Linked DNA regions of Bombyx mori. The protein of the gene in region 2 purifies or fractionates together with the protein of the main gene of each other region. This does not show direct contact. Links are inferred from orthologs where the notes say so. Each region holds a gene or a part of one and is shown on either strand. Other genes may lie near its edges.

Region 1 (17,471 bases), on a different chromosome or scaffold from region 2:
CAGAATATTTATGTTGTCTACTTTTTAATGACCTACTATTATTTAAGATACTTTGCCAGTGATTTCACAGCCCGTGATAAATTATTTAGTGATTTAGAAATAAAAAATTAGACCATATCAAAACTGTACTTTTTTGTGTGTATCCTTGTATACTTATTTTCTATTACTTTTAAACTAATATTATATTAAATTCTCGTGTCACGGTGTGCGTGACTGAACTCCTCCGAAACGGCTAGACCGATTTTCGTGAATCTTAGCGTGCATATCGGCCAGGTTGGAGAATCGGACAACATCTATTTTTCATCCCCCTAAATGTTAAGGGTGGTCCACCCCTAAAATTTTTTTTTTACTTTTTAGACAATTTTTTTTGTTTTTATTTTTTTCATGATACAGCATACAAAAATACATACAACCCCAAATTTTCACCCCTCTACGATCAACCCTTATTTTTTATTTGTTAATTAAAAACCTTAATTTTTTTGGTAAGAATTTTTGATTTATTTTGTCATGACTTAAAATAAAAAAATTCATATTACTCTCAATTTTCACTCTTATACGATCAACCCCTATTTTTCCATCCCGATTTTTATTTTTTTTATTTTATCCACAGATCCGCAATAAGGTTGCAAGATGGCAATCAAATATTATAATTGTAGTACGATAAGTTCTTATTCAGAGTTTATAATTTCAAGTTCCTTTAATTATGATTTTTTTCGGTCGACTACTGATCAACTATCAATCGATCAGTTATCCCCGCCAGGTGTCACCACTCATCCAGCAAACATCACGTAGTAGGGGTGAGGATGAAGCCGGTCTCCTGTCTTACTCACTATACATTTTTCAGCCATGTTTTTTGGTTTTATTTGTGTATCAATAGTATGTTCAGTAGGTCTGAGAATCGGCTACTATCTATTTTTCATACCCCTAAGTGATAAGGGTTTTTCCACCCCAAACATTTATTTTTAGATAATTTTTTTTTGTTACAATGAGGTATTATGTGGTTGAATGAGGTTTTTTTTTCTACATTAGAATTTCCCTAGAAATCTTATTTAAGGCAACAAAACGTTTGCCGGGTCAGCTAGTTATTTTGTAAAAATGTATGTATGAAGGTTAATAATAAGGTAATAGTTACAATAATACAAAATCAATTCATTAATGTTTATCTTTCCAGAACAATATATGTTTAATTATGTAGATATTTCAGAACAATTGTTTCCCTTGAAGATTATTCATCTCCGATGGCGCCACTAAAAACTAAATTAATAGCTGCATTCACGTCACCTGAAATCAAATTATTGCAAGTTTCGAATATATAGGGTATATTTCAAAGTTATTAGAATCTCATGGCAACGGGCAAAACCCCAAAACGGGACTGGAAATTTTGGGCCTAAATGAAATAGTTACATGTAGAAATAATAGGTTAGGGAAAAAGTCTTTTCGCGTTATAGTATGTATGAACTTGTAATAAAATCTCTTTGGATATACTGTTTGTATCTGGCTGGTTTTGGTATCATAAATTTTAAAAGAAGATAATTCTAAATTCAAATTAGAAAAAATATGTGATTTTTATTTATTTTTCGTACTGTCAAGATGAGTGAACCTAATGAAGAAATTAGATACATTTTAAAATTTTACTACAATAAAGGTAAGGATGCAACGCAAGCCGCGAAAAAAATTTGCGATGCTTATGGACCTAGTGCAGTGTCTGTGAGAGTAGCACAAATTTGGTTTAAGCGTTTTCAATCCGGAAATTTTGATGTCAAAGATGCACGTCGCTCTGGTCGCCCTATTACGGATAAAATGGATGCCATTTTGAAAAAGCGGAGTAAGATCGGCATATCGGTAGTTACGATGTAGCTGAAAAATTGGGAATTGATCACAAAACTAGTTTTGGCGCATTTGAAAAAAACTGGGTACCCAAAAAACCTCCTCCTACCTCACGAGCTCACTGAACGAAACCTAATGAACCGTATACTCATTTGTGATTCTTTATTACGACGTAATGAAACCGAACCATTTTAGAAGAAGCTGTTAACTGGTGATGAAAAGTGGATCACGTACGACAAGAACGTGCGAAAAAGGTCGTGGTCAAAGGCCGATCAGGCTTCAGAGACTGTGGCGAAACCCGGGTTAACTCGCAACAAGGTGCTGTGTGTGTGGTGGGATTGGAGGGGCATTATTCATTATGAGCTGTTACCACCAGGCAAGAACTCTACTGCGAACAACTGATGAGATTAAAGCAAGAAGTTGAGAGAAGTGGCCGAAATTAATCAACAGAAGGGATGTGGTTTTTCATCATGATAACGCTAGACCTCACACATCTTTAGCCACTCAGCAAAAATTAAGAGAGCTTGGCTGGGAGGTGTTAATGCATCCGCCGTATAGTCCTGACCTTGCACCTTCAGATTTCCACCTATTTCGGTCTTTTCAGAATTCATTAGGCAGTGTCAGGTTAACATCACGAGAGAACTACCAAAACCAATTGTCGCGTTATTTTGATCAAAGTCCCAAAATTTCTATAGCAATGAGATTATGTCCCTACCTACAAGATGGCCAAAAGTTTTCGAACAAAATGGTACCTACATACTTTAGTTAAATGTAAATAAACTATGTATATTAAAAAATGTTGTGAATTTTCTTAAAAAATGCGAAGAAACTTTTTCCTCAACCTATTAGATATGCCGTAATAGGTTGTCGATTACAGAAACCTACAATCGACTAAAAAATTGAATTAATTTAGGAAAATATCGCATGATTAATTAATTCATGAAAGTATGAATGTGTGTGTGATGCTATTAAGAAAAGACTGCCTTTTTGAAAACTTCAGCGATTATAATTTTAAATTGTCTTCAAGATGTACGCTGTTGCAAGCAGCTTCATGTTAAGATAAGCAGAAAGGGGGTTGCCTGCACACGTGCCCCGCTGTCGTGAGTGCCCTTACACTCGAAGGGTCGAAGCGACGTGGACGTGAATAAATTACATTGTGAACTATAAAAGTGGTCACTCATAGTAATTCGCATTTGATAATGTACATGGAAAACTAAATGCAGATGTGAATGATGCTATGTTCTGTAATACATATATCATTGGAAAGCTTAAAGTTGCAATTGATTCATTTGATTTGCCCTCGTCATTTACCAGTGTCTAATAAACTTCGAAGACAAAATATTAAGATCAGCTAAAGTTCCTACCGATGGCACTGCAAGACCCTGTATAAATGAGAAGCAGTCCCGGCATGATGAGGCCCTGAGCTGACGCCTGCGCTAACGCGTTTGTATCGTCTTTCTTATTGCGTTAACAGGGTTCCGTCTTCATGGAAGACCGCCCACGTCCACCCTATCCCCAAGAAGGGTGACCGGTCGGACCCATCGAGCTATAGGCCTATGGCGATAACTTCCTTGCTTTCCAAGGTGATGGAGCGAATTATAAATATACAACTCCTGAAGAATCTTGAGGATCGCCAGCTGATCAGTAATCGACAGTACGGCTTCCGTCACGGTCGCTCAGCTGGCGATCTTCTTGTATACCTTACTCACAGGTGGGCTGAAGCCTTGGAAAGCAAGGGCGAGGCTCTTGCTGTGAGCCTTGATATCGCGAAGGCCTTGGACAGGGTCTGGCATATGGCACTTCTGTCGAAGCTACCATCTTACGGAATCCCCGAGGGTCTCTGCAAGTGGATCGCTAGCTTTTTGGATGGGCGGAGCATCACGGTCGTTGTAGCCGGTGACTGCTCTGATACCATGACCATTAACGCTGGCGTTCCACAAGGTTCGGTGCTCTCCCCCACGCTTTTCATCCTGTATATCAATGACATGCTGTCTATTGATGGCATGCATTGCTATGCGGATGACAGCACGGGGGATGCGCGATATATCGGCCATCAGAGTCTCTCTCGGAGCGTGGTGCAAGAGAGACGATCAAAACTTGTGTCTGAAGTGGAGAACTCTCTGGGGCGAGTCTCCAAATGGGGTGAATTGAACTTGGTTCAATTCAACCCGTTAAAGACACAAGTTTGCGCGTTCACTGCCAAGAAACCTGCCTGAGAAACGAATACTACGATAGAGAATTCTGGGGTGATTTTCATTACCCGGTTTCTGTTTCAATTATGGCAGTATTGTCTTATATTGACGTTGCGGTTTCAAAAATAAGTGCCCCTTTTACATTGTATATTATCCTCAATTAATATTTGTAATTGAAAGGTCAGTGAATGAGGCTGATCACCCATGGTTGGCCCAAGAGCTCGACAACCTTTGAAGGTCATAATTGGCGGTAGGCAGCGGCTTGGCTCTGCCCCTGGCATTGCTGAAGTCCATGGGCGAAGGTAACCACTCACAATCAGGTGGGCCATATGCTCGTATGCTTACAAGAGCAATAAAAAAAATTAACTCAGCAGAGACAGTTCATGCAACATATTTACCGGAGCATATTAGTAGGGCGCGAACATTTAGGGCGTCGTCCAGTAGACCCATTTCATGCATATGGTTCAATTGTGTTGTAAAATTATCTTCCCTTCCTCCGGGACTTTGAGATGAAGATGCTACAATTAAAATTATAATTTGAACGTTGTATTACATTTAACAAATGTACCATAACTAGAATCGTTATTGTCCAAGTCAGTAATAGAACAAAAATGTCAACAAAATGTGGTTATGGTATTTGCATTATTTCCATGAGTCTGTCTGGTAGCTACATGAGACCATGTCACGCTTAAGCAATTTTATCAATTCAAATAAATTTGAATTTAAAATTCAACAAAAATTTATACCGTTGATACTCTGACTACAGTAGCCGAATATTCAACTGATACTATTAAACAAAACTAGAATGCTGAATGAATACCTGCAGTACTTTGTTCCATAGGTGTTCCATCACTTTGTCTATTGCTGGATCTGTTTATAGCTTCTGAAATAGCTTCACTGAACATTTCCGGAGTGATAACCGAGCGACTGGGGCCTGTAAGTGATATTAGTATTACAAGTGTTAAATATGTATGAAAATAATAAAAGATCATTTTGAATTCGGGTGTTTTATTTTTATTTAATTTTTTTATTGCTTAGATGGGCGGACGAGCTCACAGCCCGCCTGGTGTTAAGTGGTTCTTGGAGCCCATAGACATCTACAAAGTAAATGTAATAAATAATAATAATAATAACATAAGTGTTATTTCAGCATTCTTGTTGAAAGTCAAAATGAACTCTACCACCAATTCAAAGAACACATGGAAGAAGGAACACAGCTGGCTTTCTTATTCTTATTTGCCATCATACTCATTATTTAAGACAAACTTCTGAATAATTTAAATACCAAAATGAATTGTCAACATTGAGAAATTATTTTAGGGGATAATGAGACTTATTAAAATAACAATTAAATCAGAACTGGTTCGCTCAATCCACTATGAATAGTATTCAAAAGTGTGTACCTGAGGTCTGCGTGGAGGAGTGCGGTCGGGAGGAGTCGCCGGCGTGCAGCAACCGCAGCAGGCTCTCGTGACTGCCGCCGCCGCTCCGCGGAGTCGACACGGCTTCCGTGGCCGCCTGCCACAATCCGTAACTTACATACTATTACTTAATAAAAGTTACTTAATTCCTCCAAGATCTTGCCACTTAAATATGAATCACATTAGATAAATAATGCTTGTTCATGTTTATGTGAGTAAAATAATATTTACACGCCCTTATTAGGAATTTCGTGAATCCCCCGATATTTAAATCCTCAAGAAGCTCAAAGTGATGAACTGCCATTCGACTGTTAGTAATTAATCACGAAAGCCCTCTGACAATTTGGAGGAATTGATTATGTCACAAAATTTAAAAGAAAAGATGCAGCCCTTTATATTTCATTATCAGAGTGTTGTAACACATCAAGATCTAACATCATGCGCTATTACATTACAGGTAGGGAAAAATAGAAAGCTCTCTCTTGTCATAGAAAGTAATGAGGCAAAGCGGTGCATTGATGACAGAGAAATATAATTAATGTTCTTAAGGGACCTATAAGTCTTGTCTCACAGTCTCTCACCTGCAATGCTGCTGCTAACTGTTCTTGAGTTATTTGGTTTCTTTCACCATTTTCATCAGTCTCCTCATCTTCACCATCTTCATCTTCAGACAAAGCCTCCAATGAATATGCAAATCCAGATGTGGGTGCTGAAAGTGTAAGTTAACAGTGTTATCTGTGATGGATTGGTGTATCAAGACAAGAAATGTTAATATTGTAGTCCTATTATATCTGGCAAAAGATCTAATAACAAAATGAAAGTAAGTACATATTCTAGACTACTGAAACATGATGTACCACTCTTTTAATAAAATTGATTATATAAAAAGACATTGTTTTCTTGAAACTACTACCTCTACAGCATGCCAGTGACAGTACCTCAAAACATCTCTAAAGGTACCAACATCAATCAGCAACCAAGGCCATTTGTTAGGCAGTTTGACAGTGGATAGAGGACAAAGATGCATATACATTCATTTCTATTTGTTTAGATAGATAATATAAATAAGTTGATTTACTTCATTTGTCTATTATATATTAGAAGATAATCATATTTAAAGAATATATTCTATTCATATGTTGGAGCTGATGTGCAGTTTTGTTTGGTCCCTAAATAATCTTACCAGTATCACCAGGAGTAGATCCGGTTGAAGAGCGTGATCTAACAAGATTTGTGAGGTGTCTCAATGCTATGGGCAATTCTGGATGGGCTGTGGCACCCCGCCTCATTGTTTGTAGATTGGCACCCAGAGCTGCCAATAACTCAACCTCGTGCAATATTGAAAGAGCTACACAATCCTCTCCTAGTGATGGGGCCTGTTCTATGATCTCAGCCATAACAGAGTCATCATTTAAGAGCTGCAAATATAGGACTTTATTTAAAAATAATCTTTTTTACATTTAAATATAGTGATAAGCAACCTGGAAATTCAATTCGTGGATAATTCAACCAAAGTACAGCATAGAACAACAAACAGAGTATTCCATGCCATTTCCCAGTGACAGCCATTTCAAATTACAGTTGACACTTTAACCTTATAAATCAAAGCAGGAGGCAACAGGTCATGTTGTGGCACAGTCTCCCGAAACTACGGTGCGAAATCCAGGTGAGCTGATAGCTTCTCCACTCATTTAAATAAATACAAAATGACAATATAAATGGTGTAATGACCTGCATAGCTCTAGTCCAACCTGGTGCATTTGGTGTACATCCAAGAGTTCTCAGTGATGCATTTAACTGCTGCAGCTCAGCATCAGTGTAAGTTGGAGGTGCTGCACTGGCAGTGGTAGTCTTCTTTTTCACAACATGCACCATTTCACCAGACTTGACTCCACATTCTTGAAGTGTTGCCTTGTCTTTTAAGATTTTTCCGTGGTGAATTAATTCTGTTGGTATTAAAAAAATGTTTTACATCAAGATAATTAGTGACTGTAAAGATTGTTTCTGAACATTTTGACTTATTTATTACAGGAATATTAATTGGGGGTGTACTTAAATATTATAGCCATACTGTACTGAAATGCTGCCTGCACTATTACAATAATTTGAGACACACAAGTGGTGATGAGTGTATAATATTGTAAGGTTTATAGGGGGAAGACGGAGGAGGAGGTGTGTGCGTTGGTTGTTTATTGCATGTTGTCCTCCATAAACCTCATCAGAGTGGTCTATAAAACACTGAATATGATTACATGTTTATTCGCGTCAGTGACAGCGGTGGATCGCTGCACGTTGACCACTGACTGACTAACGTATGCTGCTCATTACTATATACACAATAACTACATAGTAAGCTAAGCGGGGCGGGGTATCATTCCCCTACAATATGAACTAGATTGAATTGTTGATAAAAATATTGTCTCGAAGCAAAGAGAATAAAAAATGAAGAGCTAAAAAAAGGCTAATTTTAGGGCAAGCAACGAACCAATAAAAACAAAAAGGAACAATAATTTCATGTAAAAACAAATAATATATTTTTACATGAAACACAAATATAAATTATTCTATTTATTATTCGACAAACATCTGCTTTGTAGATAAAATTATACTTCTCATTAGTCATACACATTTAAAAAACAAATTTTACATTTCAACTTTTGGTACTTACGTATTAGCGCCACTGCTGCAAAAATCCGTTAAACTTTCCTTTATGGTCTGTCGATTTTGGGTCAGGGTGGGGGTGGGGGGAGGGAGGGGGTAAGGGTTTACTCCCTGCACCATTCCCACCCCGCGGAACCCCATGGTTATGAAGACATCCACGGTTTTTTTTTATTTATTAAAATTGCATTATTTAGTCAAACTCAAATGGAGCTTTAGTTTGAATCCGCCTTATCTCCGGCGCTGCGGGAAGAGCAGCCCTTCCGCCTTTGCGTGCCGAAGCACGGTCACTCATGCTCCGTCACAGCGGGCGAGGACTGCTCTCCCTCCGCGCCTCCGGTTTTTTAAATACACTCTAGGGGTAGGACAGACAAGACCAGGTGGAAAGTGGGGTACTCTGATTCGCTTTTCCATATTTTTCGAGTTGTCCACACTTGCTAACCATAACATTTTTGCCGCGGTGGCGTTAATACGTAAGTACCCAATTTTTTGTTTATTTGATAGTTTAATCCGTATCAGTCGAAGCCATGAAAATGGAAATATTGAAAATCTAGATATGTAGTGTTGTATATCCACTCTATTGTGATTCTTTGTCTAATTCAATTTTTTCGAGGCTTTTAATACATATTACGATTTATACAAGAACGTACCTAATGACGATGATGGTACGTTGGATCGCTTTTCAGCCTCAGTTCTAAGAGAATCTACTGTATTCTCGAGTCCAAAATTCTCTAGTTTGTGACGTTCTATTGGTCCAGGTTTCACTTTTATACCCAAAAATATGCATGGCTGGTTATCCATTTCTTGTTGAGATTGCCTTTTAATATGACCCTATAGATAATTAAAGAAGCAATAAATTCTAAAAAAAATTATTTTAGTGACTTGCAGAAAGCATTATTTTTCACAATTTTCACATAAGTGACAGGTATGTATTATCATTATTATTTTTTTTAAGTGATTTTATGACCTGGTAGCTAAGACCTTTAGGTCAAGCCTTATTTTAATTTTAATGATACGTAACTTTTTTATATGAAAATGATATTATGAAATGAAAAGAAAGTTCATTATTATGAAACATGGCATGAAGTGAAATGAAAACGAAACGAAATGACATGAGATGAGATGATATGGGATGAAGTATAATTTCAGTAAAATGGTAGTCATTAACTGTGACTTTTTCAGTGGACTTTTTGGAAGATCCCGAGAAGTTACGTTCAGTGGCTTTGTTTCATTTTCCCACATTTGTGCACTTTCGCAGATACTAAATAGTTAATAAACCACAATTATTACACATTTAAATCTGAAGAAACACTAACTAGCCAACTGTACTTTTTTATGTTTAATGTATCGCACTGTTTATTAGTTTTTTGGTGTACAATAAAGAATTCTCTCTCTCTCTCTCTAGACAAAATAAAACAAATCACACAACTTCACTCCCCGCGTTCCCGCCAAAAAGTCTTAAAGGTCAGATTTTTTTTTAATGGATTTTATGACCTCGTAACTAAGACCTTTAGGTCATGTCTTATTTTAATTTATATTCATATTTTTAAGAAAAATGATATTATGGAGTGAAATGAAATGATGATTAATTTGAGACATTAATCAACTGGGATGAAATTAAATGAAATGAAATGGGATGAAATATAATTTCAGTAAAATGGTGGTCATCTACTGAGACTTTTTCATTGGACTTTTTGGAGGATCCCGAGAAGTGACGTCCAGCGGCTTTGTTTCATTTTCCCACATTTGTACACTTTCGCAGTTATTAAACAGTTAATAAACCACCATTATTACACATTTAAACCTGAAAAAACACTAAATAGACAAAATAAAACAAATCACACAACTTCACTCCTCGCGTTCCCGCCAAAAAGTCCTTAAAGATCAGATAGTAGTTATTTTGCATAGATAATACACTAAATATTTGAGAGATATTTTGTATATCCTGTGTAAAATATATTCTGTAATGAAAATGACGGATATGTCCATGCAAGGAAAATGCATAGACCTATATAGTTCATTGGGAAAATGATAATAACGAAATGTTTTTCGTTGGCATATTTAATAAAGTAACACATTGAAGTTAAAGGAACTTTCTTTTTTAAATCAACATTTTGGTCAGACGATAAAATGACTTGAAAATGAAGAACGGATGTCTCGATTTATCAGAGGCCAAAATTGCGGAGCGCAATGAACGTGCCAAGAAACTTTATCGGTAAGCAAAAATGTTCTTACACATAAACTTATTGAGAATAAGTTAATGATTTACAACGTAGTTACATTAAATGAATTCTAACATACGCTCCTATAGAAAATTAAACTAGAATATGTCTAAACAATTACGTAGCTATGCTAAAGAGTACTTGATTGTATTATTCCTCAACATTTAAGTATGTGAATTAATGTTATTATTGTTGATATTACGTCATATCGAATATTGTAGTTCAAGTTTTTATTTATTTATATAATCACAGTCTCACAATAAAGTGTTATTCAGATTACCAGATTTAATGATCATTCAGCCAATAAAGTATCGAACATACACTCTACGTTTTAATTTAAATAATATTAAGCACAGGCCGTACCAGTATCAATTAAAAATATTCTAATTTCAGCTATTTAAGTGATGTAGCAAGACGTATCAATGACATGTCGACTACAAGTAAATTTGTGGCAGACCTCTTTACTACTAACATTGAAGTCCAGAGACAAAAGCTGAGGGACAATTGTGAGAAGTTACTGTTTCTAGATCCAATTAATTACGGCAAGAAAGCACTTGAACTACTATGGAGAAAAGTATATTATGACACTATATCTACTGCCAAAAAGTTGAGAACTGATAGTGAGCATGACCATTTCCTGTTCACCCTCATCCAATGTGGAATTGGTAATTTTCACCATTTCTTAGATAGAATTCATTATGAAATGAAAGTAGATTTCAAGGAGTTAGATTATATGCCCAATACTGAAGAAGATGAGTTGCAACTATCTTCTGGTAATGTTGAACTATCAAATTTTGGAAAATCTGCTTTGCACTCATGTTTGATATATTTAGGGGATTTAAGTCGTTATGCAGTGGAAATATCAAATCACTTTGAACCAACAATTGCTGCTCGATACTACTTACAAGCTGCTCATACTGACTTTACATTGGGAATGCCTTATAATCAATTAGGAAACCTTTATCTTGAAAAAAATTACAACTTGGATTCTGTATGTTTTTATATTCACTGTCTTAATTCTAAAAATCCATTTGAAGGGGCCATGGGTAATCTTACAAAAATATTTGAGAAAAATGATCAGTTTTACCATACAATAAATGAATCAGATACTTTAACTCAGGTTGAACATATACAAAATACAATTGTGAATTTTCTTTCATTAATTGAGATATGGTACTTGAACAAATCTGATTCTGATATTCCTCAGCGCTGCAGCAAAATCGCACAGCAGCTAAAGATTTGTATGGAGTTTAATGAAGCCACACTTCCTGATATTGATAAAAATTATGATGATTATCTATCAATTTTGGAACATGAAACCAATTTTCCATCTTATTTAAATCCAAATCTAATACATCGTATGGTTCTGATTTGTTTATTCACAGTCTCAAAAATGACAGAAATTGATGAAACAAAAGCCTTTGCATGCAAAGCTTTCACTCTTGCTCTTTTGTCTCAACTTTTGTTGAAATTGCTTAAGCAATTGGATTCAATTGGTTTTGTAAATCCTAGGCAGATTCATAATTATGGATCTTCAAAACCACACAATGAACAAACAGAAAAATATGAGAACAATAATGATGAAAATAAAGAAATTATAGAAAGCACAGTGAACAATGGCCAGAATGCAGAACAAGAATTGGAGGAGCAGAAACAAAATAATGTAAAAGAAAACAATCTAAATGGTCATGCTAAGCATGCAAAGAAAGCACTTATGAAACGTCGTCGCCGTCGACGCATTGCCTCTTCAGAAAGTTCTGACGTGAGTGATGCTAATACTGAAAGCAGTGATTTAGATGAAATTGAACATTCATACAGCGACTTGTCAGATTCCTCTGATCAATCTGTATCACTTAGTGAAGCTAGCGATTGTGATGAAGTTAACGATGAAACTAAAGATGAAAGTAGTGAACAAATTAATGAAAAAGTAGAACCAAATAAAATATTGAATGATGATATCACCTCAAAGATTACAGAAACAAATTCACTTAATTCATCAAATTTATTGAATTGTAATACAACAAAATCTCAGGAAAACAGCAAAGTAAACACTATAGAATTGAAAACTTTTTTACAAGGAAACAATTTCATGGCCAGTATCAAGCTGTTGTTGGATTGGATTTTGATTGAAAAAGATTTAATTCTTTCATGTGGAGACAGCGGAGAGTCCTTGTTTCAATGCGTTGTAGATTTGTTAAATATTTTTACATTTTATTTCAATACAAAATCTGATGAGGGGACTAAAGAAGATTGTGAATTAATAAAGTACATTAGAAATTTAGTCATGAAAATGAAACTTGAATACAAGACAATACCCTTACCTGAAGATATAAATTTACGGGGAACAAACATTTGTAAATTTGATAAAGATGCTGCTGAATGGCACATCTTAGAAAAGTATAAATTATCTGTTTATGAAGAAAACGTAATAAGGATTCTTAACTTCATAGATTTTGGGAACCAGATAGCTAAAATTATACCCAGAATAAGATTTAACAGGACCATGAAATTGTTTTATCTAAAAAACATTCACCCTCCTAAATTGAATACCAAAATTAACCATAAAAGAAGTAGAGAATGGCATTCAAAGAAAAATGTATGTATATTTAATTTCCATAGAATTAACATCAATGTTTTTGTTTTTAAACTAACAGTTGTGGTTTTGCTTTATTTTTCAGACTGAATCGAATGAAAGTGGATTACTACGGCGCCTTGGTCGACTATGGTTGACATCACAAGTACGCGAGTTGGAACGCAGCGGACAGTCGGCGGCACCTGCATTACTCGTACTTGACACCGCAGCTCTTAACAAACACCTCCGTCGTGTCAAACAGCTCCTACTCACAACCAACTTTGTGCTCATGGTGCCTACAGTTGGTAAGATATCGTCTTCTCGCATTAAAACTGTATAATCTCAAAACTTACTAATTTTTTACAGGTGTGTTTTAAAGGCTTAACCAGGGACGTCTTAAGCTAGGATGGGGCCCTTGGGCACACAAGAATTTGAGGCCCTTTTGGAAAGTAAAAAAAGCAAATTATAATAACATTTTTTTACTGAGTATGACCATTTGTTATACGTAATCAAATACAGTATGATATAATGTCATTAATGATATTAGAATGCTGCTGGTTTTTTGATTACGATTTCGATAACGGTTTCTTTCGGGATTTCTGTTGAGCAAAATCTTCTATTATAGGCATAGTATATGCCTTCTAAATACCTCCTAACTACTGAAAAAAGTGTAATGTGCTCGACAAAAATGTTTTGAGAATAAACGTGTGAGAGAAATTGTCGGTCTTTCGGGGCCTCCTGAGAATGGGGGCCCTGGGCACGGGCCCCGTGTGCCCTTATGGTAAAGACGGTATTGGGCTTAACTTGTGATATTTTTAATATTAATCATATCTGCAACATTTAATTTTATTTTTTAACAGTTACACTATCTGTCTTTTAAAGTAAGATAAAATTATTTAATAATTTTCTTAGTAGTAGTCAAAACATAGATAAACTAAAAAACTAAAATAAACTACGCTCTTTTAACAGTATTTATGAGAAAAATACTGGTGATACCAAATGTTTTCGCATATTAACTCAATTTCGAATATTTTTGGAAATTGTACACTTTTAATCCGAAAAGACGATATGTCTTTTTCAAGTTTATGACTCACCTGATGTTATATAGCTGCTATAGTGATGGTAATTGCTTGTGCTAATAATAAATACAATAGTTTGCTGCTCACTATCTTGAAATGTAAGATCAAAATGACTTCTGCTGATTAACTGAAGATTGAAAGATGAAAGAAGAGAAAACCTTAAGCAATGTGTAATATATTTCCTTCATTATTTCAGTGCTACAAGAACTGGACAATTTGAAGCGAGAGCAGAGCACAGCACGTAAAGCTATCCGTTGGTTGGAACTTCAATTAAAAAATGGCTCAAGATTTCTACGAGCACAACGTCCGAACCAGTCAAAGCCCCTGCCGCTCTTGAAATATCCCCGTAAAGCTCCAGCCCATATTAATAACTTTATTCAGATTTTAGAGTTCTGCAATCATTTCGTAGCGGAAGATAAAAAGACGCAAGGATCCGGTGATGCTGAAAACGTTTTACAAGGGAAGTCTTCGTCCGTCCTTATACTACTCGTTGGCAATGCTGATGAAGATGAAGAACAGTATAAAGAATTTAGTGTTATGGGCGCAGCGCAATCGGCCGGCATTTCCGTAGAAAACATCGTAGATTTCTACAGCAAATGGCGACAGACATCGCATAAAAACGGTAAAAAGAGGTGAACGCGTGTCGATCACGAGACCGGTTTTGATCACTATGGAAAGAATGGACTTCGAGGATATCGATAAAACGTCAAAAAGCTCTTGCGAGGTTTTGATAGGACACGTCCAAAACGCTCACTATACACTATACAAAAAAAAAAAAACTAATAATGTTTTCATTGAAGGTAGCGCGGAAAATTTTCTATTGATGTATTGTATCAATAATAAATTTTTATATATCGGTGTAACATTATATAACCATCCATAAATTCATAATTCATAATGTATTCATATAGCATACGATTGGGAAAATTATCATTTTTAGTTCACATTGATTACAAACTACTCAACCGTTTCATTGCCTGTGTGCTACAACACCATTCAAATTAATTTCTCATTAGAATAAATTCGTTGTCATTGAAAAATAAAATTGCCTTTTATTTTCTGTACGAGAGTAACTTCGCCTGTTGCGATATGTATTACCAAAACGTGGTAACCAACCTCATTTTCAGCATTTCCAAAATTAATGCTTGGTGTAAAAACTGTTCTATAAACGGGGTAAAGGACAGTAGGCAATTGACAGCCTGCTAGGCTGTGTTAATTTTTTTTTGTTGGAAGTCGAGTCTGTCATTAACCCACATCTGCAGTATGCTTAGTGCGAGTTTTTTAATGTTCTCGATAGCGTAAAAGTTAGCCGAATTTTGTATGCAGTTGGAACAGCGCCCCTAGCGGCAAACGTAGGCAAACGATCCCATTCCATACAAATATGAGCTAACTCTTACGCTATCGAGAACGCTAAAAAACTCACACTAAGCACACTGATCGTCAAGTCCCACATACCCCGCGAGCCCCCTAGATGCGGGGACCCCGTAGGAGGTTCGCCCCAACCAGAAAAAAAAAATTCAAGCAAGCAAGCTCAATAGTAACCAATCGCTTGAATGAAGCGTCTATTCATTCAAGCGATTGGTTACTGTCGAGACAACACCGGATAGCGTCGATCACTTCAAGCTTTACCTGCCACAAGACGGCCTACTTCATTCCACTTCGATAAAGCGGCACGACATGAGAACCCTCTCATCGTGGCCGCCGGTAACTACATTCCCGATCCTGCGGACAGAATGGAAAGCAGTCAACGTCGCCCCAAACACGTCATTTCGGATCCTCCCGATCCACTAACGGTGCTTTTAGGTACCTCAAGCACCGGTCACCGTTCTCGTCGAACCCGTCGCTTGCGACGAAGGGCATGGCGAGTAAATTAACCCTCAGACACAGCCCACTGAGTTTCTCGCCAGATCTTCTCAGTGGGTCGCGTTTCCGATCCGGTGGTAGATTCTGCGAAGCACGGCTCTTGCTAGGGTTCGTGTTAGGAACGTCGTCAGGTTTAAGCCCAGTGAGCTCACCTACTAGTTAAGATTACGCTGAAATAGCCTCTCAAGTTTCTCAGCTTACGTAGGAAAAAAAAGGCCTACTTCTAGTTGTCGTCGGCTAAATAAACAAGGATTCCACATGACCACGACTGCTCTGCCAAGAGTAACCGACTATGATGAAACCTAACACGGAACCTCACGCATCTACGGATACCCAATCTAGGGGAGCGTTGTCTTTCGATAGCTTTTCAAATGCAGTTTCGCTGTTTTCAAAGCGAATCACTTACGGGAGCAGAGTGAAATCTCTCCTGTCCCGTACTCTGCTACAGCAGATCGGTTCGAATAGAGAAGAGCTCTATTACGCTCAATCACTAAACCAACGATAACCATTTAAAAAAATATTAGTTAAGTACGCAAAAAAAGATTATAAAATGCAAATTGCAAAATGCTTTTAATAAATACGCAAGTTATTGGTCGTTTGGTTAAATTTGAAAAATTCAAACAAGCTCAGAATCTAAATTACAATATAAAGTTGTTCTATAATTTAGGTATTTGTTAAACGTCAAAAAATGGAACTTCCTGGAACTGGAAAAAATGGATCTAAAAATAAAACAGCATCCAGGTTCAATATGATCATTAAAACATTTCTTTGAGATTTAGATGGAGATACCTAATTTTTGGCATGTTTAAGTAAGTATGATATGAGACGGTAAGCTTAGAATGATATTATGTGTCAATTGAATAACGCCAGGCCACTCTCTGACATAGTGGAGTAATTATCCCTGGGTCCCACGTGGCTCGGTCTAGGCTAACATCAGCAAGCTCGTTGACAGAGAGAAATTCACAGTGACGTGTTCGACTTTACAACCCCAACACATGTATTAGGTACCTACCTAATACTCTGGGATTCAGCTTCCCGGGAAAAGGAAGGATACTATCAAGACTGCAGAAGTGACACTTGTAGAGTTGTCCTATAGTTAGTTACTTAATTAACGATGAATGGTACTCGAAGTCAGACGAATGTGCCGATAACTTGATTTGAAGCAGTTATCGTTGCTATGATATTTGCAATATGATCTGAGGTTGTTCTCCACTTATGATTTATTGATCTTGAATGTTAAGCCCTGTTAAATTTACACCTGTACTATGTAAATTTTGTATAGTAAATCAGCAACTGTTTAGGAATAATCATGGACTGGTAGAATACTACTAGTCCTACTAAAGCAAGTTTTAAATAATTACAACAAAAAAAAGTAAGATGTAAGTATTATTTATTGTAAATCTTGTTTCCAAAATACTATGGATATAAAATAAGTTACGTAACAAAACACAATGAACTAAGAATGAGTACTTACTGAAACTTTATAAGCAAATTTAAATGTTTACTTACATAATCTATAAAATAAACTATGTTATTTAACAAAAAATAAAACGGTATTCTATACGTTACATGATTATTTTATATGATAAAAGTTAGTGGCGCGGATTCGCTGACTATTGTTGATCGAAGCACATACA
Region 2 (16,967 bases):
ATGAACTTCACAAACTGACGACCGGAACGGGATTCCTTCACGATGGCCTGGAACCACACAACAAGGTACAGTACACTGGTGGTAGGACTTCTTGAGAGCCCGCACGGGTAGGTACCACCACTCTGTCTGCCGTGAAGCAGTATGGGGCAGCCGTTGTAATGAAAACTGAGACTTAGAACTCATTTCTTAAGGTGGGTGGCGCATTTACGTTGTTGATGTCTATGGGCTACAGTGACTACTGAACACCAGTGTGCTTAGTGCAAGTTCTCTATAGCGTAAAAGTTAACTCAAATTTATATGAAATTAGAACAGCGCCCCTAGCGGCCAACTGAGGGAGCACAAGTGGACGGTGTTTTTTTGGGTTTGTTAAATTGTTAATAAATAGTTGTTGTTTGTTAAATTTGTAATCAGATTTTATATTTAATGCTGTAATGCTTATATTGTAATTTAAAATTAAAACTTTAAAATAAAATAAATAAAATAAGATATCCTACCCAAAATTGTGGACGCACGAGTATACGTAATGTGCCTTTAGATTTTACACTTAAATTATTTAATTAAACAAAATGATTATTTCCGAATGAGTTTCGTCACTGACCTGTTTATGTATGGGTCGTTCCCACATTCCCTTCAATATGATACTGATATGGAATCGAATAGTGAACTTGTCGTAGAACTCCGTGCTCTGGCCCGTAGTCTCAATGTCCGTATAGAATTTCATCAAAGCGCTGGGCAGCTCGTTTTGCGACATCGGATGGTCCATGAACTTTTCGTATACGTTTTTCAGCTTCAGCGGAACCGAAAGGTTTATCACGAAAAGCACTTCGACAATTTTCGCAACAAGATATGGATTTTTGATGAGATGGGAATTGCAGATGGCGCTGAGGAGCCACGTTATGATTGGATCCTCTATGTATTCAGCGACTATTTGAGGTACGTATCTGGAAATGGACAACAAATAACATTATCTATAAATTAACACGTGAAGAAAAAACTTTGCACACCTTTTAATTTTACGAAAATTGCGCAGACAGAGGACTATGAAATTTCCCATAGTTATAGAGAATATAGAGGAGTGCAGAAGGCTAATATTTTTTTTAAATTATGCCTAAAAAATACATTAAATCAATAAAAAAACATTACACACACTACCATTGTATTTGACGCATACACACGCATGCTTGCATACTATTTATTTACTGTCAAACTTTTGTTCTTGACGTCTGTGGTCAAATTGAGAATAGATTAAATATTCTTTGTCTTTATTAATATTTTTCTATAGTTTGTAGTCTAGGCGAAATTTGTAATTATAGAAGTATAATTGCGGGGGCGTTAATAATGAGAATCTTTGTGGGGCTGAGAAATAATAATGTTAATTTTATAAGCTCAACGAAGCGGACGGGTACAGCTAGTAGAAGTATCATATTGACAATAGAACCACAATAGTGTACAAACTTATAATTTCAATTAATTATAGTCGAATTTCGACTACCGGGCGACCACTAGTTATTATTATTATTCCGGTGTCAACCTCTATTGTGTTTTAGCAGATATTAAGCTTATACATTTTTTGTATAATACAGGAGAATGTTGTTAGACGAGGCCACGACCGTCAGCTTTGAAGATTATCTACGCAAGGAGGAGCTTACACAATCTGGATTATAGCTTTTCATACAAAATAAACTTCCAATTTGAATTGCTGTTCGTTCAGTCTCGCTACAACTCGAGAACGGCTGGACCGATTTGGCTAATTTTGGTCTTGAATTATTTGTGGAGGTCCAGGGAAGGTTTGAAAGGTGGATATGAAAATGCTCGGAATTAAATAAAAATAACAATTTTGTTTTTCCTTAGCTGTGTCCCCCGTCGGCGAGATTCCTTTTGTATATTTTAAGTTTATTTTATACAAAAGTTTAGGTCTTTTATTTATCGATTGAGGCACTACGAAGTCTGCCGGGTCAGCTAGTTCCTGAATATATATTTTCACTTTACACTTTAAAACTTAAGAAAACAAAATGTTACCAGACATGCTAAAACCTAAAAGCATAGTTTATGAGACTCACTGCACAGCGAAGAGCATGAACTCGGCGACGTCCTCGACGTACCACTCGGGCGTGGCGCGGAAGGCGAGCGCCGGCGGGCCCTCCCCGGCGGACGCGTCCAGCTGCCGCGACAGCAGCGCGCACACTGACGAGTAGAACTGCACGCTGCGCCGCATCACCTCGCCCTCCAGCAGCGCCGTCTCCGCGCACTGCTTCGATCTAGCACCCACCGACAAACTGTTATGTGACAACCTGTACCGGGTCTTAACAAGAGAGGCGACATAGGTTCTGTTATCGCTTACACGGGTCAACGATCTCACGACCACCTGGGGTTAAGTTATTAAGTGAGAATAACGACTGTCCCACAAAAAAAATATGGAGGAGAGTAGCAGCCGCCCCTGCTGAAGATTGAAAACGCAAGAAAGAAGAGAAGAGAAGAGGGAAGAAGAAGGAAAGTCCCACCCATCACTACCTCAAGCCTGCCCTACAACATCCTGCAGCGCATCACCCCCACCTCATTAGGCAGGGAGATTCAGCCCGGGCAGAGGGGTTCCTCCAAGGCCCACTCCGTGCCCCCGCAAGAGGGTACGACGACCCTCCTTCCCTTGTCCCGCATTTGGAATTGGAACGCACGAGGGCTTTGCAGCAAAATTAGACAAGAGGATAGTGGACGTTCGACATGTTTGTTTCTTGAATAATGGCCATCCCCCCTGCTTTACGACATATTATTATACCTGTTTAAGATGATCCCATCATCTAATTTTACAATCGCATCGCCCGCCACCGGAATAGAGTTTATCCATACTACCTAGAACCACTGCGTTCATCCACAGTGTGATTCCAGAGATCTTATTTGCCACGTATCATCCGGCTTTGGAAAGAGCTCCCCTCCACGGTGTTTCCCGAATGCTATGACATGTCCTTCTTCAAACGAGGGTTGTGGATAGTACTTAACGGTAGGCAGTGGCTTGACTCTGCCCTTGGCATTGCAGAAGTCCATGGGTGACGGTAACCACACACCCTCAGGTGGGCCGCATGCTTGTCTGTCTACAAGGGCAATAAAAAAAACTACCTGTGTAGACGTTTGATCTGCCTTCTCCAACGTCTCAGTAGTTCTCGATTCCGCAGAGCTGAAAAACTGTTTCTCCATTGTGGTTCTGCAGCCATCAGTTCCTCGATTACCTTCTGTAGGTCACGGAAAGCGCTGTAAATTGAAGAATCAAAATTATTTACTATTTTTCGTGGATTTTTTTATATATAGGTATGTATGGTCTTGGAATTCATGAATGCGGCTTCCAGATCGATTTAGATCGTACGTGACCACCGCCGCTCTTGGACATTGGCAATGCCGATATAACCGCAAAGGACTCCTCAACCTTGTTCTTTTATTTCCTTTCTAGGTAGACGAGCATAGGCCCGTCGGTGAGTGGTTCTTCTTCTTCATCATTGTCCTCACTGCCGAGGATCGCGACCAAATGTGACTTTCCTCCACACTGAACGATTATGGGTGGTATGGACCGCATGGTATATACTACCACAAACCCTTTCTTCACCAGATCTGACCATCAATTTTTTTATTGCTTTGATAGGTAGACGCGCTCACAGCCCACCTGATGTTAAGTGGTTACTGGAGCCCATAGACATTTACAACGTAAATGCGCCACCAACCTTAAGGTATAAGTTCTAAGGTCTCAATATAGTTACAGGCGGCTACCCCACCCTTCAAACCGAAACGCATTACTGCTTCACGGCAGAAATAGGCGGGGTGGTGGTACCTACCCGTGCGGACTCACAAGAGGTCCTACCACCAGTTAATCTAGCTGGTGAGTGGTTATATATAACATAACTCGTCTACATGCTAATTAACTCACCCCAGTGACAGATCGATTTTGTAATTTGGCGGCTCGACGGCATGGTATTAAGCTTCCTATAGAAATTATGATGAAAATACACAGAAAAATTCCGAATTCTATACAAACAAGGGTAGCAACGGCGGCAGTCGCCGGTTAACCTACCGAATACGTCTTTGATGTGTGTGTAATGCAGGAATGAGTGCCACGTGATGCATGTGCAGCGTCAGGAACCAACAAACAGTCTGGAATTTAGCCTCGGGCCACTTGTGGTTCGGATCGTTATCTGAAAGAACAGATTATACTATGTATTTCATTTGTCTTACCGATTTCGTATGTGCAAAGATTTCTTATACGTATCATAGACATCGTTTTTTTTTTTCAAGTAATCACCGAAAATCGCGTTATTTCGTCTTTTTAGTTGTTAAGTGGTTACTGGATTCCATAGATATCTACAAAGTAAATGCGCCACACACCTTGAGATATAAGTTCAATGAGCTCAGTATGGTTACAACGGCTGCCCCACTCTTCATACCGAAACGAATTATTGCTTCACGGCAGAAATAGACGGGGTGGTGGTACCTACCCTTGCGGACTCACAAGGTCCTACCACCAGTAAAGAGATGCAAATCTTAAATGCAAGTTCTTTTAGTCGCCGCTTCGCGAATGCAATTCTCTTACCGGATCGGAATCGCGGCCCGCTGAGAAGATGCGTAAATAGACGTAAACAATGTTTAACTGTTTAGGCATATTTCAGGGCTAATGCAAATTACAATATCCTAACTTAATATTTATATGTCGGAGACGGTCATTAGTTTGGTAGCTAAACAAAACTCGTACGATTTCCGAGACATGGCAGCACGATTGCGGTATCTTCGAAACGGCTAACTTCGTGCTACGACAGAGCCTAGCCGATGGAGGCGCGTAGACGCCATCTAAATTGTCCTAAGACAACAAACGTATACTCAATATTTCTCTTAGCTCGATCACCCTATTCCCCCCTATGATGTCTAACGATGGTGTTAATAATTGTAGATTCTCCGACATACATAAGTGTATTTTTATTAATAAATACTCAGAGACGATCGAAGGGACATGTTTATTAAAAAATCTCACAGATGGCGCTGTATTAAATAGTATGTATATTTCTGTCTCATTCTTTGCTGGCTTCATCCTACACATTTTTGTATTTGTGTCTCTTACCTGTCGTTTTTTCCGTTGCATCCGGTTTGAAATCACAACGATTCTAAAGAAGTTTTCACTTCAATTATGTAGGTATCTCGTGAAACTTACTGAGTTCATCGAGCCAGTCCTGGGCCTCTTGCGCGGTGAAGTACAGTCTAGTCTCGTCGCGGACGTTCGCCCACGAGTCCGGTTGGAAAGTGTACAGCGGGTACACGCGCTCCAGCTTAATGCGGACGGACAGCAATTGTAACACCGAACACACGTTCAACATGAAGCCATCGCCTGAAATGTTTATTATTTTTATAGCTTAGATGGGTGGACGAGCCCACGGCATACCTGGTCAAATGCATTGCCGCGTTATTTTGTTGTTGAAAAAAAAACGATATTTCCAGTTTTTATTATTAACTAGCTGACCCGGAAGACTTCGTAGTGCTTCAATCGATAAATAAAATACCTAAACTTTTGGTTTAATAAACTTAAAACAAACAAAAGGAATCCGTCCGACGGGGGACACATCAGAGGAAAAACAAAATTGTTATTTTTATTTAATTCCGAGCATTATCATATTTATCTACCCTTTAAACCTTCTCTGGACTTCCACAAATAATTCAAGACCAAAATTAGCCAAATCGGTCCAGCCGTTGAGCTTACGGGCTCATTCTGAGAGAATTTGCTAACACTAGCCCTAGTAAGAGCAGTGCTTCGCTGAATCTACCACCGGATCGGAATCGCGACCCATTGAAGAGAGCCGGTGAAAAAATTAAGTGGGCTGTCTTTGGGTTAGTTCGCTCGTCGAACTTTCCTCGTAATCGACGATTTCGATGAGGATGGGCACCTGTGCGTAAGAGGCCTAAATGTACCGAGAGAGGATCCGGTGGATCCGACAAGACACGTTTCGTACGACGGCAACTTTGCGTTGTCCCGTCGCCTGGGTCAGATAGGGTTCTATTTTCCTATCGATATACTTATCTACATACATTTTGAATTCAAGGATGTAACACTAGTTGTAGTTGTAGTACTGTACAACGCAGTCAATCAACCTAACAAATTATCAAAAACAACTTCGACTATGAAACAATGAATATGAAGAATTACTTTGCAATTCGAATTGCCCACACGTATCGATACTTCAGAGAGGAGGCATTAACGTTTTGGTGACTGTGATCTCCGGTGCCCCATTTACGCCAATTAAGTAGCATGAACGCTAATTAAAATTTAAACCTAATATTCGAGCGACCGTGATGTCAACAATTTTTTTTCCTTTATTGCACATAGGCGGTGCGATATTCCTATTGAAATTCTCCTCAGGTTAGAGCCCCGTGAGCTCACCTACTCGTTCGACTATGCTGGCATAGCCTTAGGGCTACCAGATTAGGTACGAAAAATTTTTTTTTGAAATAGCTTTTGCCCGCGACTTCGTCCGCGCGGAATAGTTACTTTGGCATAACACTAAATTTTACCCGCCTCTTCATTTACGTAGAAAGTGAAAATATTTTTGAATAATATAATGTTATGGAGCTATTTAAAAAGGAAAAAAACCCGATTTTGAAACATTCTTTATTAGTGCTCCGCTTGTATTGGTCTTAGCGTGATGTTATATAGCCTATAGCCTTCCTCAATAAATGAGCTATCTAACACTGAATGAATTTTTCAAATCGGACCAGTAGTTCCTGAGATTAGCGCGTTCAAACAAACAAACTCTTCAACTTTATAATATTAGTATAGATATAGATTGCGCTAAACTGCCTTATAGCTTTATAAACGTTGAAAACAGTGATATAACGTATAATGCGGAATCAAACAGCTATTTTCATAATGTTAATTTTGAACTTTCTCATACATTCTGACTAAGAGTTACAAAAGTTTTAGTACAGTAATCTTTGTTATGATGGGCAGAGGCGAATGGCCGCGGCGATGCTGTCAACCTTGAGACGTAAGATAATAGTCACAAATACACGAAGAAATGAGAATTGACGATATTAAGTGACAGAACAAAAAGAAAAGAAAAAAATACAAAGTTATTTGGCAAGAATGAAAATGTACCTCGATCACTTTCTAGGTATTGGATTGAATCCAAATAATGAAATCGTACAATCTAAATACAGGTGTGTTCGTGTTAAATTTTGTATGTCTATACTACAAGAGTCTATATTGCATTTAAATGGTAAAGTGTCATATGAAAAATTCATGTGCATACATAATAAACAGTATTAAAATCATATTCCAAGGAATGAAATTTCACAAGTTTATCACTGTATTTATGTTGCTTGCTGAAGTGGACGGGGAAAATATTATGTCGAGCGAAAAATGCAGCGCACTCCTGGTTTGAATGGTTTTGATACATTTTATGTTTGAATTTCAAATCATAGCCTTCGATTTGTTTACTATTTTAAAACCGCCCACAAGCATGTATGTACCTACATCGAAGATGTTTACAAACAAAAAACATTAATATAATTATAGTTAAGGTGGATCAAGCCAAAACACTATTCTGATGAAAAATATCTATTTAATAGAAAAATATTAAAAAAAATACATTTTACGAATTTGGTAAACGTGTTACGTATTAAGATCTTGAAATAAAAGTATATAATCACATTTCATCAGTACCGAGTGCAAAAAAACAATAAGTCCTCATTTCATCCACAAATGCGCGGATGGAGTTACGCGATACGCCTAGTATTATTATTATCTAGTTACGTAAAACTACATATTGAATTCGTTAATTGAAAGACTACAATTCTATTTGTGTCAGAGTCGACGTTGAATTAATAGCACATAATGTTCTAATCAGCATTTTGTTTGCCGAAAGTTACAGTAGTGAATGATCTACTGTGCACGCCAGTACTTTTCCCGAGACACTTGCGATCGTAAACATAAATATTTACACGGAATCAGTTACAGTGTTACAGCGGTTCGATGTAGGGAAACTTATTATTTGGACTAGAGGTGGCTAATATAACCAATAACCAATAAATTTACCGGTAAAAAAAATTAACACTTCTATTCGATAAATAAAATTACCCAAAACGGTTAAAAATACCGTTTACCAAACACACTGCGTGTAGTGGCATAGGCAATTATTGGAAATTATATTTATGCAAGTTTCAACTTTATTTCAACACGTAAGATTCATTTTCGCCTTGCAGATGTCTTCAACTTATCATGTAAAAAATATTGAATTTTATGATTTCATTGTATGCTCTATACCCCTCAAAATAAAGCACAATATTTAAGTTGGTGTATTTTACAGTTAATGATAATTTTTTTCGTTAAAAAATTGAAATGAAACGATATTTTTACCGAACGCGAAGATGACGTGATTGGTTGATTTTTTAAACGTAATATTTTGTTTGGTACTTGACATTTTGGTGGCTCAGTGCATCTTTTCTATTATTTTGGTAAAGTTGTGTTTTTGTATTTTAAGAGATTTGTACTTTGTGTTTGTGTGTTTTGACTTTGTTTTTGTGTGTTTGAGACTTTGCTTACTTTGTTGTTGTGGATTTTTAAATTGTATATCTAATTTAAAATGCCGAAACGCAATGCAGAAATATGGGATCATTTCGAAAAGTGCTAGTACCATTCAAGTTTAACATTAGCAAAATTAATTTTTCAACGAAAAGATTTACCGGTATTTTCAACCAATAAAAATATCGGTAATTTTTTTTATCAATTACCAGTTAACAGATAAATAAATTCAACCGTTAACGCCATCTCTAATTTGGACCGAAGCCAAACGTATGTTTATTAGACAGAGACGAGGTTAGCGGCATTTCAAAGAAATCCAACATTTTCAACAAGTCATTCAATCGTAATTTTGCTAATTGATATTTTTATTATGTTTCCAAGACATTGTTGTGTCTTGAAGCACTATCGTGGTCTTTACTAGAAAACGCACTAAAACGGTTAATACGTAAGAACTAGATTGGCGTAAAAAGACAATGGAATGAACACCAACAAATGTAGAAAACAAGGAAAAAGGAGTAGGGTAACAAAAGACATATTTGGTTATTTAGACCGACTCTGTGGAGCAGGAGTTAGCGTCCCTAAATATCATATATTCGATTCCCGTATTTAGCAAATCTTCATATGATGCACAAATTTATTTGCTCTAGTCTAGGTGTTTAATTTCGATGTGTATATATTTTAATTTATATAAGTATCCATATCAGTCTCTGACTCTCATAGTACAGGGAATTCTAGTTTGGGATCTACTCTAGTAATAGCAATTAGTTATGTAACGATTTATTGAAATTAATTAAATCATGAGTTTTTTTTTAAATCTTCATCGAGCTCCACTATTATCAGAGGTGATAAAACTGAGCTCGACAATTTTTATTTTCAATGTTACTACAAGACAGAGGTAGGTAATGCTACAGTCAAATCACTACCTCAGGTTTTATATAATGCTAACAATACCCTGTGGACAAGTCACACATTACTAGATAACTGTGTGTGACTTGTTCCTCAGATAAAAGAGGTGCTCGATGAAGATTAAAATAAATATGATTTAATTAATTTCAATAAATCGTTACATAACTACCGGGCGAAGCTAGTCTATAAAAATTTATAAGCCTAAGTTACTCCTTATATCATCAGCTATCAGTGAAAGTCTCGGCAAAATCGATCCAGCCGTTCCAGAGATTAGCCGGAACAAACAGACAGAGAGACAGATAAAAATTGTATGTACTGTATAAACTGTATATAAATTCATATGCATGTACTAAAAAGCGGTTAATTCAATATTACAAACCGACACTCCAATTTTATTTATATGTATATAGATTTCGTTACGGGGATCATTTTTAACTCACCAGCGAGCGTACGTTCATCAGTCTGCAGTTGTGCGCGTCGTTCATTTCGCTGCAGTATGGCCGCGAAATAGTTTAGGAAAGGCTCCCTAGCCTCGGGACAGACCAGGATATTATGACAGATGTTGTGCAGAGTATTGCGACTGGCTTCCACTTCCCGTTGCAGAGCAAAGGCCAAGCTTCTGTCTCCGGTTCCCGAAGAGAACAGACGCTCTGCCAAACGGGGGTTCTCTTCCGCGAACAACGATATCTGGAATTATGAATCTTATTTAAAAAGCTTCTCATTATTTATTTATTTCTTATTCCTACACTACATCTCATATGTTTGTGAACTCGGCAATACAATAAAGATGTTAATAAAAAACTAGCTGTATCCGTCCGCTTCGCTGGGCATTTAAAATGAACATTATTATTTCTCACCCCCACAAAGATTCTCATCATTAACGCCCCCGCAACTGGTGTAGGGAGTCCAACACTCATATAAATATTAGCCTATCCATTAAGTACATGTATTTTCTACATGTATACCAAGTTTCAAGTCAATCGGATGCATGGTTCAGTAGTTATAACGGAACATCCGTAAAAACCACTGTAGTCTGTAGATTTATATATTAGTATAGATTATGTGAAAAAAAAAAGGCTAATGATGGGTAATGGGTAATGAAACTCACTGAGAAGAAGGGCCCGAGGAAGCTCACGCGTGCGATCTCGCGGCCCGGTGCTGAGGTGACTGGGTCCGGACAGAACGAGGGTAGGCGCGCCAGCAGCTCGCACACAGGGCGGCGCGTGCCACGAGCCCCCGCCCGCACCTCGCACAGCGCGTGTAGAGCTCGCAACGCCGCCCCGCCGCACACGTGGCCCGTGCCCAATGCACTGCGCATCTCTTCACGAACTCCAAGCACCAGCCAAGTAAACACCTGTCCGATCCCATCATAGATTACGCTTTTTCATTACACTAAATTCAGGGATGGGCAAATATTTTGATAGTCGGGCCACATTGCAGATGAAAATTTGACCTCGGGCCAAAGGGTTTTTTCTAATTTTAAGTATAGTTTTTGCTAAGAATGTCAATTGATGAATTTTTTATAACTTTTAATTAAATTGTGCGACTATTATACATACTGTAATTGTTCAATTATCATAATTATATTTTCGAATAGGAGGCGCTGAAATTTTGATTCCCACCGGCATTTATGTTAGATAAAAACTAATATCTGTGTTTTTAATAATATATATATATATACAATGCTTCACGGGCCAGACAAAATTCTACCGAATCCGGTTCGCGAGCCGCCATTTACCCAGGCCTGCACTAAATGATAGCTGCAATTATGTAACGATTTTGGTTACTAATTGTTGGTACTTGTAAATATTCAATTTAAGAATATCTGTCACATTTACATATAAAACGACATATTAGTGACATTAGAGTTTCGTGGACCTAGTTTCAAGATTATTTTTGGATGGGCAGACAGATAGGCCTATAAAAATTAGTGTTACTTAGAGCCTTTAAAAACCACAACGCGGATACCGGTGCCCACCTTGAGCCATTAACTAGGGTCTTATTGGCAAAACGTGATAACTACTATTATACAGGCGATACTATAGATAGAATCGAGCACAAGGTTGTTTTGCAGCACAAGAAGGCAGAATGCTAACACCTATTCTGTCAGAACGAGTTCCATTCATGTCCTTAAAAGAAATAAAATTATTCTAAAGATAATAACTACAGATTTATTAATATTACAATTCAGTATTTAATAATACATCCTATACTGTAACATAATTGTGCTAGTATACTTAGAGAGGCAATCTTGTGTTGTCTTGATTATCAAGATTTTATTGTAACTATCGAAGTCTATAAGCAGCAGGTACCTGCTTTGCTGACGTCCATCAGCTTCGGTGACTACTCACCACTACATGGGCTTTAAGCTCATTTGCCCACAATAAAAAAAATTAGCAGTCATCACGGCCTAGGGTGTTAAAGGACGAGACGTCCTCATATATTGCGTGGTGTTTATTTTTATTGCTTAGATGGCTGGACGAGCTTACAGCCCACCTGGTGTTAAATGGTTTCTGAAGCCCATAGACATCTACAACGTAAATGCGCCGCCCACCTTGAGATATAAGCTCTGAGGTCTCAAGTATAGTCACAGCGGCTGCCCCGCCCTTCAAGCCGAAACGCATTATTGCTTTACGGCAGAAATAGGCAGGGCGGTGGTACCTACCCGTGCGGACTCACAAGAGGTCTTACCACCAGTAAAATGGTACTATGGATGGTACTATGTTCGTTTTCAAAACCTGCACGCAGGTCCCATTTTTGCTAATCAAATACAATATGCTTAGCAACATATGTTCAGGACGGTCTTGCATGATCCAAGAATAATGTGGTAATAAAGACCGGATCCGCAAGTATTTAATTTTCGTAATTACTGCTCATAGGACGCATTGCGAGGGTAGAAACCACTTCTTATTGCATTAATGAGCAACTGAACCCATAACTCAGTTGGTGTTTAATAGTTACCGGAACCCATAGGTATCACAGCATGACCCCACCCATTTTGAGTCATCAAGTTGACTAGTAAAAATTGTATTGTATTTGTAAGTTTATCAGTGAATCTCAATGAATTATATCTTCCGTAGAACTGAATATAATAAAATATTTATATTATTTTTCAAGAACACTAGTTTTGCTCTTGGGTGTGTTTCAAATCTTAAGACATTTCAAGTATATTTCGTTAATTTGATAGTTAAAAATGTGATTTAATTCCACAATATACTAATAAAAGCAGTGGAATACTTATTGTAGTGTATTAGTGAAGATATTTGTTGTCCTTTTAATAAAAGGATTGCGGAGTGCAGGTTGTATAAAGACAGACACACAATGAACAGATACATTACCCAACATATGTGCATAAGTTCATAATTAAATAATAAAACATAAGTTATCTTTTTGCTAATTTGTCTGTCAAATACAATGTTTGTTTCAAATTCAAATTTCAAATCAATAATAATTTAATAATGCAATAGTTATGTGTTTATTGGAGTAGGTTCAAATTTAGAAGTTTTTTTCAACTTTTTATTTGGTTTAATACAGCATATTTGTGTTCTTACTGTACTGGTTGGTTAACTAAGTTTATTTATAAATGAATATAAACCAATTTATATCAATGTAGTTGTTTGTTAGATAAAAACAAACATATACCATTATTTCAAATCCAATAATTGGTTGAATTTAATTCAATTGCAAGAAATCTTGAATATCAAATGTTGGTAAACATTCAAATCAATAATTTATATTTCAATTTAAATGTCATCATAACATACTTGTTGAATAACAAAACTTGTAAACTCTACCACTGGTTCCAAAAAGAATTACAGTACTGAGAACAACCAGTGAAACAACAAACGCAGCAAGCCTGGACTATCCATTATTCAAGATATTTGTTAAATAAGTTACATTATAAAGGTCCTTACCTCATCAAATATTTCTTTATCAAGATATGTAGCAAGCAGTAATTCTGGGATGAGGCCCGTTGGTGCATTCCCAATCAATATGTAAGGTAATAATGGTGATTTCCTGCACTTTTCCAATTCGAACCTTCCTTGTAACACTAGTACCAAATGATTGACCAGTATAGTTCTCAAACTTTGGAGCAAATCACTCAAAGGTGGTTCTGAACTCTTCTTGGGGTGTTCTCTTTCATATGAGTTTACATTATTGTAGAATTGAAGTAAATAACTAACAACTAAGCCTTGTGTGGGCATCGTTTTCTGGATTGGTAGGGCTGGTGATGGGCATTCAGGTTTATCCGCATCTGTTTCTACACTTGTTGAATTGGACAAAGAGTCCTCACCATTCTCCTCATTCAAGTTCTTTGAAGTCTCAATAATTGCAGTAAGTTTTTGATTCAATGGATCACCACCATCTGCTATTTGTATTATGACATCCATTAAAGCTTCAGATATGAGCTCAGTCAGAGAAAGTTTTGGATTATCAAGTAACGATGCTGCTACTGTTGGCACAAAAATCCCACCTGCATACAAATATTCTCTCTTTAATAAGATTAAGTATAAGTATTAAGTACAGAAAAATTAAATGTGACAAGTTTTATTCTAGAATCCTTTAAAAAACATATCTTGATTTCATAGAATTTTAAATTGAAAGAACTGTTTTAAAAAAATAACAATTTTGTTATTATTGCAAAATATTATGGATTGTTTCCAAATTAGGTAGGAAAGATTATTTCCAAACATTAACTTTCCTTTCATTCCTAATTAATATATATTAATTTACCTGCACTGTCATCTGACCATGAAACTTGAAGAATCTTTGATACAATGGTGCGTAATTGCTCTTCTGTCAACTCTGTGCAACTGACAGTTCGAGATCTATGTATTTTACGTGCCGGAGATGCTGATGAATCATCTTCAACCTTAAATTACACAATAGGTTAGAAACAATTTTACAACAAGTTACATTGGATTTTCGGTTCTTTGCTACCTCCATTGGTTCTTGCTGAGCTTCAGATTGAGAATTTCTTTCAGACACATCATCTACTTCCATTGACAAAGAACGACGAGAACAACTTGGTGAAGCATTTGTTTGTCTTGGTCGTACAGGTGATGGCTCAACAAACTGTGGTGGAGATATTGATCTTGATGTGCTATCTTCCCTTGTAGAACTCCCTTCTGAACCAGCAACAGTATTTTGCGGTAAGCTTCCCACTCTCACAGACCCACAACTTATCAATGTGTCATCACCCATTGAGTCAAAGCTACTGTACTGTCGTGTTTGTGTAAGATCTGTCATTTTTGTGTCTGGCATTTCATCCAATATATTGTTGTCAGTTTTTTCTGTTACAATTAAACCGTCTGCTGATATTTTATTTTGATCTGATTGATCTGACCTGACTTCTTCTGAGTAATTGGGCTCTTGATTTGCATTCGCTGTGTCAGGAGTGGTGGGTTCTGTAGAGCTTCTAGTTGAAGGAGCTGGGGACAATCGTAAGGGTTGCTGTGGACTGTGTAGGTCAGGAGAAGGAATTGAGGCGCCAGGGGTTACCGGAGGACTAGCTGAAGTAGGCACTGATCCTGCACTATTAAGAGCTGCGAGACGAACCAGGCGTCTTCTTCGTATCTGTAACGAATATTGACATCTTGCAGCACGTGTGAGTAAATGACAATTGCTGGGACGTTCACCATTGACGCTTTGTTTTGTTACGAAATTAGATTGGCCATACGTAGTAATAGACGGTCGTTTAAAAAAATTATTTTGACTTACCTCCTCTTGGCTCAATTCACTCATGATGAAAATTATAGAGTAGATTTTTCTATTAATTTGTTCGGCCTATTCTGTTACGTTAATTTTTCTTTCAATATTTTTAAGAAAAAGAAGCACAAGCCACACAACGAGTCAGTCACCTCGCTCAGCTGTTTGACGTTTGAGGCTGCACAGTGCACAATGACAATGACGAAGTTAATAATGAAAATACACGCGTCATCTTTGTAGATGAATTAGTATAAAGAGTATGTCTCTTTTTGTGATATTTGAAACAACGTAAACAAAAAGAGATAGCACCAAATATGACATTCACCCACTGTAAAAATGTTACCCTAGCAATAAAATCATTCTAGTACTATATAATTAAAGTTTTTTTTAATAATTTTCATACCTACCTACTTTTAGCATTACCCTTCCTGGAGGGCTGAGCCTTTGCTCGGCCAATGGCTCAAAATAATCCGAGTAGAATATTTAATTCTTACACAAACGCAAATCTGTATATGTGTAACATTTATTTGATTTTTGCGGCATAACGTAGTGTAAGTGATTGCAATATTAAAATTTAAAATAATAAATTAATGTGTTTAAAAATGTGTAAGTCGTATGATTTGTTCCGAACTTTTCCCTTTAAGTAAATGAATTCAGTCAATTCTCTGCAGTGTTTTCCTGCAGAGCTGCAAAATCCTGTTATTTGCCATGAATAGGTACGTACGGACAGTAACCAGAAAGAATAACCTGACTCATAAAAAAAATCACATTCACAACTTCTCTTCACTGATACCAGTCAGTCACTTACTTTTTGCATGGAAGTAAGTAGGTAGGTAGGTGAAATAAAAAAGGCAGTGCCTAAAAGTCAATTTAAACGGGAAAAAGTGGCAAGAATAGTTACTATGAATTTATAAAGAGCAATAGCGAGACTGGTAATTTTCGGGGCAGGATTTGGTTAGTTCTTTTAGTTCTTTACGTGTCTCTGCTTGTTTTGAGAAAACTTTTTTGAGGGTAGTACGATTTACAAAATGATATACCTATTAGTCCCAATAGAGGTAGGTTTTTTTTCTAATAATAGTAAATGTATAAATGATCTTATACTAGTCAATAATAAGCATATTTTAACACCATTTATTGACGATATTTTTTGGCCATTAATTTATTATTACATTCCATAATTTGATCTAATGATGACAAAAGTCTACATTTAACGATTTTTGTTTACTCTTTGAACTTAAAATGAAGAAGTTTTGGGTTTTTGTAATTTAGTCTTGAATTAACATGAATAGTTATTCTGTATCGTTATTTATATGTATTCTTCTATTTTTCTACTGTACTTGTAGATAGACGATCATGCGGCCTACTTGATGATGAGTGGTTACCGTAGCTCATGAAGACATTCTGTTTAAAACTCAAAACTCACTATTTAAACCCCACAATTTTTTTCTGTCTGTTTTAACGTCGACGTAGCCTAAAGGATAAGATATCCGTTGCATTCGTGTTGAGCGATGCACCGGTGTTCGAGTCCCAGGCGGGTACAACTTTTTCTAATGAAATACGTACTCAACAAATGTTCACGATCGACTTCCACGGTGAAGAAATAACATCGTTTATTACGAGGGCGGCACTAAAAATTTCGGGAATTAACGAAGTGACACAACATTACTATTTAAAAATGTATTTATTGCTTTTCGAAGTATTCTCCGCGAAATTTGACACATTTTTCCATACGATGGAACCAATCATTGAAGCAACCATTCCATTCGGAAGTTGGGGTCTCCAAAATGGCCGTTTTGTAGGCGTCCACAGC

Evidence for each region.
Region 1: the proteins of ubiquitin conjugation factor E4 B (region 2) and ubiquitin-like protein 7 purify together in Homo sapiens (affinity purification with mass spectrometry; 3 studies listed by BioGRID and IntAct, counting the BioPlex papers as one, with this or other methods). This does not show direct contact. The link is inferred for Bombyx mori from reciprocal best matches to the Homo sapiens genes UBE4B and UBL7.

What each region holds. Positions count from the first base shown.
Region 1 is NC_085127.1:4,573,494-4,590,964, reverse strand, and holds ubiquitin-like protein 7, read right to left. Parts: upstream 9,501-17,471; 5' UTR 8,900-9,500; coding exon 8,749-8,899; intron 7,387-8,748; coding exon 7,172-7,386; intron 6,859-7,171; coding exon 6,624-6,858; intron 6,150-6,623; coding exon 6,022-6,149; intron 5,538-6,021; coding exon 5,423-5,537; intron 4,954-5,422; coding exon 4,840-4,953; intron 4,538-4,839; coding exon 4,418-4,537; intron 1,282-4,417; coding exon 1,226-1,281; 3' UTR 1,145-1,225; downstream 1-1,144. Other genes in the region: nonsense-mediated mRNA decay factor SMG5, read left to right, coding at 10,240-10,313, 10,714-12,916, 12,999-13,197, 14,168-14,607.
Region 2 is NC_085109.1:10,811,819-10,828,785, reverse strand, and holds the start of ubiquitin conjugation factor E4 B, read right to left. Parts: upstream 15,407-16,967; 5' UTR 15,194-15,406; coding exon 15,170-15,193; intron 15,026-15,169; coding exon 14,390-15,025; intron 14,322-14,389; coding exon 14,183-14,321; intron 13,923-14,182; coding exon 13,363-13,922; intron 10,803-13,362; coding exon 10,557-10,802; intron 10,136-10,556; coding exon 9,889-10,135; intron 5,357-9,888; coding exon 5,183-5,356; intron 4,176-5,182; coding exon 4,055-4,175; intron 3,244-4,054; coding exon 3,112-3,243; intron 2,259-3,111; coding exon 2,061-2,258; intron 942-2,060; coding exon 599-941; intron 48-598; coding exon 1-47. UniProt on the Homo sapiens protein: Ubiquitin-protein ligase that probably functions as an E3 ligase in conjunction with specific E1 and E2 ligases. May also function as an E4 ligase mediating the assembly of polyubiquitin chains on substrates ubiquitinated by another E3 ubiquitin ligase.